Canis lupus familiaris: one gene and its partner. The protein of the gene in region 1 purifies or fractionates together with the protein of each later gene. This does not show direct contact. Links are inferred from orthologs where the notes say so. Each region holds a gene or a part of one and is shown on either strand. Other genes may lie near its edges.

What was found.
Region 2: the proteins of KATNIP (region 1) and CILK1 purify together in Homo sapiens (affinity purification with mass spectrometry; 3 studies listed by BioGRID and IntAct, with this or other methods). This does not show direct contact. The link is inferred for Canis lupus familiaris from reciprocal best matches to the Homo sapiens genes KATNIP and CILK1.

The regions. Positions count from the first base shown.
Region 1 is NC_049227.1:19,102,600-19,106,490, reverse strand, and holds the end of KATNIP (katanin-interacting protein), read left to right. Parts: intron 1-627; coding exon 628-729; intron 730-1,201; coding exon 1,202-1,362; intron 1,363-1,451; coding exon 1,452-1,540; intron 1,541-2,057; coding exon 2,058-2,116; 3' UTR 2,117-3,181; downstream 3,182-3,891. UniProt on the Homo sapiens protein: May influence the stability of microtubules (MT), possibly through interaction with the MT-severing katanin complex.
Region 2 is NC_049233.1:20,703,431-20,707,240, reverse strand, and holds part of CILK1 (serine/threonine-protein kinase ICK), read left to right. Parts: intron 1-1,694; coding exon 1,695-1,823; intron 1,824-2,869; coding exon 2,870-2,968; intron 2,969-3,810.

The DNA of each region.
Region 1 (3,891 bases):
GGGGTCCCCTAATACAGGAGAGTCTCTGTGGGGACCGTGGGAGGGTGGCGGGGGGTGGGGGAGGCCGCCAGGTCTGACCTTCCTAGCTGCTCCTGCCACTCATCTGGACAGCCCCCCCCCCCCCCCCCCCCCCCCCCCCCGCAGAGGTTCAAAGACACGGGCTATCTGCTGTGCTTCTCATTTATGACTGGAGAAAGGACAGATCGGGGTCAAGGCGGTGCTGACCGCCCGGGGACAGTGCTCCTTGACTCTGTACCCTTGGCCTGCCCCTTTGGCCCGGGGAGCCCCGCGCTGGGTGTCGGCCGACCTGGGGGAGACAGAAGGGCCCACCCACTTCTCTGCGGGTATTTAAATGAGGGCCACGCCAGGCCCAAGAAAACAGGCCCTCCGGGAGCCAGGCGGCGAGCAGTTTGTTGCAAACGCAGCCACACGTGACCAGACTCAAGATGGGCTTCCAGGAGACGGGAGGCGGCGGGAACCCCAGCGCCGCAGCCCCCGGCAGGCAGCCGGGCGCCGCCTCCAGCACCCACCGGGGCCAGCCCCTCCCTGCCCGCGCCCGGCACCCCCTGCCCCGCCCAGCACCTGTTCCCAAACATGCCTGTTTTAATGAGTTCTTGTCTCTGACAGGTGAACCGAGTTTATGTGATTTTCGATCTGCCCACCACCGTGTCAATGATCAAACTGTGGAATTACGCAAAAACGCCCCATCGAGGGGTGAAAGAGTTTGGCGTGAGTACTTATCAGCTGGGTTTTTCGAGATAATTATGCTCGTTGGTAATTAGGCTGCCGGCAATTATCATTTGTCGCAGTTTGATTTACTTCTCTCTGTTGCCACCTTAGACACAAATGCCTGGTTCTCAGAGGCAGGGAAATTCGCCATCCCATCGTGAATTCAAAACCTACTCTGAGTGATTTGAATCATCACCCTGAAAACCAGAAAGTGGCTTTTCTTTTGCAATCATATTGGTCTAGGGAACCTGTCACTCGGGGAGGTGACCCTGGGGCAGGGCGAGCGGGGCCCCGGGAGGCCAATCGCAGGTACCTTCCCCAGTCGTGAAGGCCCGAAATCCCAACGCCGGCCAGGCTAGCCCACGACGCTCCCAGCAGTAACATGCTTTGCCCAGGGCCTTGGGGCAAAGGGGACCACAGGGGACCCTGGGCCGGCCCCACTGGGTGCAGCCCCTCCTCTGTGTCTGTCCAGCTCCTGGTGGATGACTTGCTTGTGTACAACGGAATCCTGGCCATGGTGGGCCACCTGGTGGGGGGCATCCTGCCCACATGTGAGCCCACGGTGCCCTACCACACCATCCTCTTTACCGAGGACACGGACATCTGCCGCCAGGAGCGACACACGGCCATCAGGTGCGCCCACGCCCAGCCCTCAGCCTCCCCGGCTGGCCCTAAGAAGGAGATGGCCTGGGCCGAACCCTCTGTCTTCTCCCTCCCCCCAGCAATCAGGTGGAGGATCAGGACGTCCAGATGATGAATGAAAACCAAATCATTACCAACTCGAAAAGGAAGCAGGGTGCAGTTGACCCAGGTGGGTTGGGATGCTCTGCGCAGAGGCCGCCCTCGGGACTCGAGGCTGCGCGGACCAGCAGCTGGCCGCGTCCCACAGCCTCTCGCCCCTGCCTGCCCCTTGCACCCCTCTTCTCTCCCCAGGAGGCTTCCGGGGCGAGGAGGGACTGTGGGGTCAGAACCCCAGGAGTAGCGAGGCCTGCTTCCTGCGGGCACCTGCACCCGGGCGGCCTGGCTTCCTGGGAGCAGGCCTTTGCGGTGCAGCCGTGCCCTCCGGACTCTGTGGGAAGCCAGGGGAGGGTGCCCCGGGTGAGGGCGTCCCAGAGGAGGTGGTGCTTGAGCTGCCGCCTGAGACATTCAGGGAGTTGGCCGGGCAGAGGCCTGGGGGCCGGCCTGGGGGGGCCTGCTGCGGGGGCTTCGGTCCGAGGTCCGAGCTCCGAGCTCGGAGGCTGCGGGGACTGCTGCGGGGCCTGGCGTGGGGCCGCCCTCGAGGACCGAGGTTGGGTGACGCCCTCCCCTCCGCATGCTCCCTTTGACAGCCTTACGCCCCAAAACGTGCATAAGCGAGAAGGAGACAGTACGACGATGGCGGTGCTGACCCGAGGAGGGAGAGCCGGCGCCCGCCCCGCCCTCAGCCTGGAGCAGCCTGGGCTCCAGGGGCTGGAAGAGGGGAGCCAGAGGGCACCCGTGTGGCATGGCCTTCCTCTGCGCTCCCTCCGCGTGCCCCCCGCCCGCCCCGGGGCGCAGCAGCCCGGCCCGCCCCCGCTGGGCCGCCTCGGGTGGGTGCCGTGGCCGGAGGCCTCCCGTCCCGCGCAGAGCCTGGGTGCCCGCCCCGTCGGCCTCAGACCCCACAGGAGGGGGCGCCCGGGGGTGCGGGGAGGCTGCAGCGGAGGTGCCAACAGCTCCCCTCCCCGCCACCCCTGCCTCAAGGGCGGGCTGCTGCGGCCGGCTGGGGATGGGGGGTCATTCAGTCCCTGCCCCCCCCAATGTCTAGCCCGGACTGCTCCACCCCCTTGGCTCATCCCAGGCGAGGACGGACCCCTCGGGGAGGTGTGTCTCACGTAGGAAAGGAAGGGAGCGGGGCCCACCGGCCAGGCCGCCCGGCGCACGGGGGGGGGGGTGGGGGGCAGCCTCCCCTCGGGCCCCCCTCCACGGCCCCCCTCCGCGTCCGCCCGGAACTTTGTCTGGAGGCGGGGCCCCTCCCGGTCCCTCCTCCCCGCCCGCCCCCCTTCCAGCAGCTTCCCCTCGAGTTGGAAACGTGCCTTGCACCCCCAGCCGAGTGAAGCTCCGAACGTATCTATTTCCATCGATGTAACAAGCTCGGATCAGGGACCTAATTGGTTTCCCAGCGGTGGGTAATTTCTCGTTGCAAATATTAATCCGCTGTTTCCCTGGCGCGCGGCCCGGCCGCCGCAGCCCTGGGCCCCGAGTACGTTCCTATGCAACCGCGCGCCCGAGCCGGCAAATACTTTATGGGCTTTGCAGCTTCGGCGGAGCAGCTATGCAAATGCGCTTTTCATTTGGAGCGCGGGGCCGATGGGGAGATAAGGAATTGTTTCTCCCGGAGAAGATCCATCATTCCTGTAGCTTCCAGGGCCGGGGCTTCTGTGCGCGCCTCCCAGATGTGCCGAGCGCCTGCGAGGAGGCCGCTGGGCCCCGGGGGGGGGGGGGGGGGGGAGGGGCTGCGGCTGCCCCCCCAGCCCCCCAGCCCCACAGCCCCCCACCCCCGGGGCCGAGGAGCCAGCTCCTAGGGGCCAAACCAGCGCCGCCGCTTCTCTCCCGGCCACCCAGCTCCGTCGCCGCCCAGACCCAGCCCGGCCCAGGTCCCACCCGGGGAGCTGGCCCCGAGGCCACGCACAACCTCCGCGGCTGTTTATCATAATTGTATGCGCCGGGCAGTTTAGGAGGGGGAGAAGAGGTGCAGGCGTTAACTGTAAAATAAATTTCTATTTTTTTTTTCTCGCAAAATCAATAAAAGATGTTATTAAGAATGCGGTCTGTCGTGCAGGATTTGGGGTCAGGCCGAGGGAGCCCAGGCTGCCTCCAAGAACAGACTCCGGTGGCTGGGGCAGGTGCCCTCTCTGACCTTCCCACACCACCTGCAGCTGGGGGCGTGAGCGGGAGCGAAGCCCATACCTACCTAGGGGTGAGTTTGTGCGTGGCTCTCCCTCATGGAATCCCCATGACGGCCCTACCCAGTAGCACTATCATGCTCCTTCTCCTGCAGGTGAGACAATGGAGGCACAGACAGGTGGAGGGACTTGGCCAAGACACACAGCAGTGGAAGCCATTAGTGCACAAAGCCCAGGGTAACCCCAGGAGAGCCGAGGTGGGGTGAAGTCCTGGGCCTCTGGTCCTGGGGTTTCCCTGAGG
Region 2 (3,810 bases), on another chromosome or scaffold:
TGAGGCCCCTGCTCCAGAGCAGGGTTAGGAAAAATTGCCAGTCCTGTGTGCTCTCAGGAGGAGACCAGGGTAGGAGCTCAGTCACACCACCTGGCAGTATTGCAGGGGGTAAGTATAAACGCTGTAGCTTGATGGTTGCACAAGCCTCCTCTCTCCACATCCTCCATATTCCAAGCTTACAGGATGAGCCAACCATCCGTTCACAAATTCATTCAGTGAGTACATATGTACTGAGCATCTGATGTGTGCTAGGGAAATTACGGGGAACACAGCAGCCAAGTGGGACCACGGGCTGCAGTTTTATTACAGTCTATGCAGTGACTTTGTACAGCAGCCTGCAGCTTATAGTCTAGAGGTGGGAGCCAGACCCTAAACAAATAGGAACCAGTAGCTCAGGTGATACGAGATGTTAAGGGCGATAGAAGGCAGGAAGGAGACACAATGATAGATAGAGTGCTCAGGAAGGGCCTCTCTGAGCAAGTGACTCCTGTCTGGGCCACCAAGAAATGTGGAGGAACAAATGAGCAGGACAAACCAGGCAGATGAAGCAGCAAATGGAGAGGCCTAGGAGGCAGGAAAGGGCTTGGTTTGTGAGGGGAAGGGCAGTGGGGCCAGAGTAGCCAGAGTGTGGTAAGAGAGTGATAGATGTACTAGAGCCCTCTTTGGGAGTCTTCTAAGAAATTTGGAATTTATTTCATAGGCAGCAGGAAGCTGTTTCAAAGGCTTTAATTGGAGAGTGTGCTGGGTTCATGTCCCATCTGTGTGATGAGTGGATGAAGGCAGGCTGTAGCTCTCGTAGCCGGTAAGGGAGTGGTGGCTTAGGCTGGGGCTGGGGCCCCAGGACACATGAGGTGGGAGCAGCAGGCCCTGCTGGTATATTGACTCCTCGCCCTTGACGGGCCTCCTGGGATGACCAAGAAAAAGAGAGAGCAAGTGACAGAGCACAGCAGTGGTCCAGGTGTCAGGGGCAGAGATTCGAACTACAGCCACCACAAGTGAAAGGGAACAGGGAGGGAATTAGTTATTTCTTTTCGGCTCTAGGAGCAGAAGGAGGATAAAAGATGAATTCAGTCTTTCAGTTCTGAAAAATAGCTGCAGTGCCTGACATAAATAGGCAAGTGGGCAGTCACGTGGGTAGTTTGGCTCCAGGTCAAGGTGATTGATAAAGATCCAGGCAGCCTTGGGCGTGAGGGAGTCAGCAAGGGTCACCAGTGCAGACCCAAGTCACCAGCACTTAATGGCGCTCATGGTCCAGGTCAGGTGAGAGGATGGATCTGGGGGACAGGATGCAGAGAGGAGAGCAGGGGCCTGCAGAGCTGGCTGGTAGAAGGGGGATGGAGAGGACTTTGGGAAGGTGACAGACAGGCAGTGACCCATGAAGGGATACAGGTAGGAGTGTCCAGGAACACTGACGCCCAGGATACCACCAGAGGGGCCAAGACAGAAGACGTGAGGCAGACCTGTTGGGAGAAGGTCAAGAGACCTCTCTCGGGCTGCCCACCAGTGAGACAGCATACTCAACCCCAGGACGCAAGCTTTCCTCTGCTGTCTATCAGACAACATCACAGCCAGTTTTTGCTCTGTCGAGCTGTAGGAAGCTTGGATGAATAGGGTTCTGTGATGAGCTTACCACTAAAATCTGGTACAAGATGAAATATGTCTTTTGCATTTGAAACTCCTGTCTTCCCTATTAGGAATAAATATAAGAAACGGCATCCTTCCAAATCCAGGCAAGGATTTTATTCCATCTAACCCGTGGTCTAGTTCTGGTTTGTCTGGGAAATCTTCAGGAACAGTATCGGTAATCAGCAAAATAAATTCAGGTGGGTAATGATCATTAACCCCTAAATGACAAGAGGCAAATTCTCTGGATGCTGCAGGGTGGGTCCAGAGAGAAGAGACAAGAGGGTTTTCTAGGGGGGAAGCCCAGGGCCCCTTTATCAGGCCTATGCTCCTGTCTCTTTCTGGGCAGCAGGCCCTGGGTACTCAGCCAGCGACTCCAGGGTCTGCCCTCAGGAGTAGCCAGGGCATCGGGCACCTCTGACTTCCGAGACCCTGCCCTACTGGACCTCCAACCTAGCTCCATCCTAGTGGAGCATTGTAAAATGCCTTGCTCCATCCAGCTCACCCCCTCCTCTGATGACCCAGCTTTAGCCCCAGAGCATCCGAAAAACCCCCTCCAGTTTGTAGGTGGACAGCTCAGAAGGCACAATGATAGATAGAGTGCCAAAAAAAAAGCGCCTCACTTTTTTTCCCTCATCCTCACTTTTTTAAAAATGAGTAAATGAATTTCATAAGCCTTCCAGGTGGGCTAACCCCATTCCCAGTAGACCAGTTTTCCACATCACTCTCCCCAGACAGGTACCTGCCACCAGCTCAAGGAGTCAAACTTTGCAAATATACATGAAGTCCACTGTTTAGGCCTTCCTACCTTTTCTCTCTTCCCCTTTCCTTCCCCTGACCATCACCTGATTTGGGTGCTTATTATTTCTCTGCATTCTTAAAAGATTCATGAACCACTTAGTATATTTTTGCATGTTCAAAAATTAATATGAACATAATTCTGGATCTCCACTCATTTTAGTAATTATATTATACTGTAGCAATTAAACATATATGTAAGACACACATAATAAATATTGTATAACATAAGTATATACATATATAATATATATACTGTATCATAATCTATTAGTTTTACTGGACCATAATTTATTTATTCTTCCTTTCTCGATGAGCGTGTAATTTGTGAACAATCTTTGCCATGAGAAAGGGTGCTGAGACGAACCTATTGTTGTGCACCCATGTGAAGGTTTCTCTGGGTATAATGTTAACAGGTTAAAGGGTGTGCTCATCTTTGACTTTACAGATGTTGCCAAATTGCTCTCCAGCAGGGTCTGGGAGTTGTGCTGCATCCTTGATGCCACTTGGTACTGTCAAGATTGCAAAATGTGTGCCGGTCTGATAGGTGTGAGATGGCATCTTATTGTGGTTTAAACTTGCATGTTTACTAATGAGGTTGAGCATCTTTTCTTGTGTTTCTTGACTATATTTTTTCCCCTTTTGTGACTTACGTGTTCAGATTCTCTTCGCATTTTTTTTCATATCTATTCACCAAAAATACAAAATGTGCTCTAGCACAACACAACTCCTCACACATGCTTTGCCACCATGCCTTAAGCAGTTGCCAGGAGCACTGTGTTGTGAAGACATACAATAGCTCTGCCACACATTCCCTCTTTTCCCACCAGATGTATCTTCCATTTGTATAATGGCCCATAATAACATCTTTCATCATTCCGTGTGTACCTTAAGTCTTAATAAGGTTTAGAGATATCCATTCATCCATCCAGAATGTATTGATTACTGCTACATATAAGGCATCCCATTAACCTCCCAGAATACTAGGATGAGTAGCATACAGTTCCGGGCCTTTAAGCACTCTCAATATGAAAGTGTCATAAAAAGTGAATATATTTAGTAGAAGTTATTAATTGTTCTGATGAGAGGCAAGAGCATTTAGTGTAGGATTACTTGTAATAGCTAAATAATTAAGGTCACCTGTGTGCTGTTCAGTAAGAGAATGGTCCAGTGAACTATGGTTTAGCCATATTCTAGAATTTGTATATACTGATATGGAAGGATAACTGTTCTCTGTTATGAAGTGGAAAAAGTGAATTTCAGAACAGGCTAAACCTTTGATTCCGAAAAAGAAAGAAGACCGCAGATTTCCCTTTTCTGGAACCAGGCAACCCTCCAGACTCTGTTCAGGTCAGGCTGCGGGAGCGGCACTGTCTGCTGTCCCTCTTC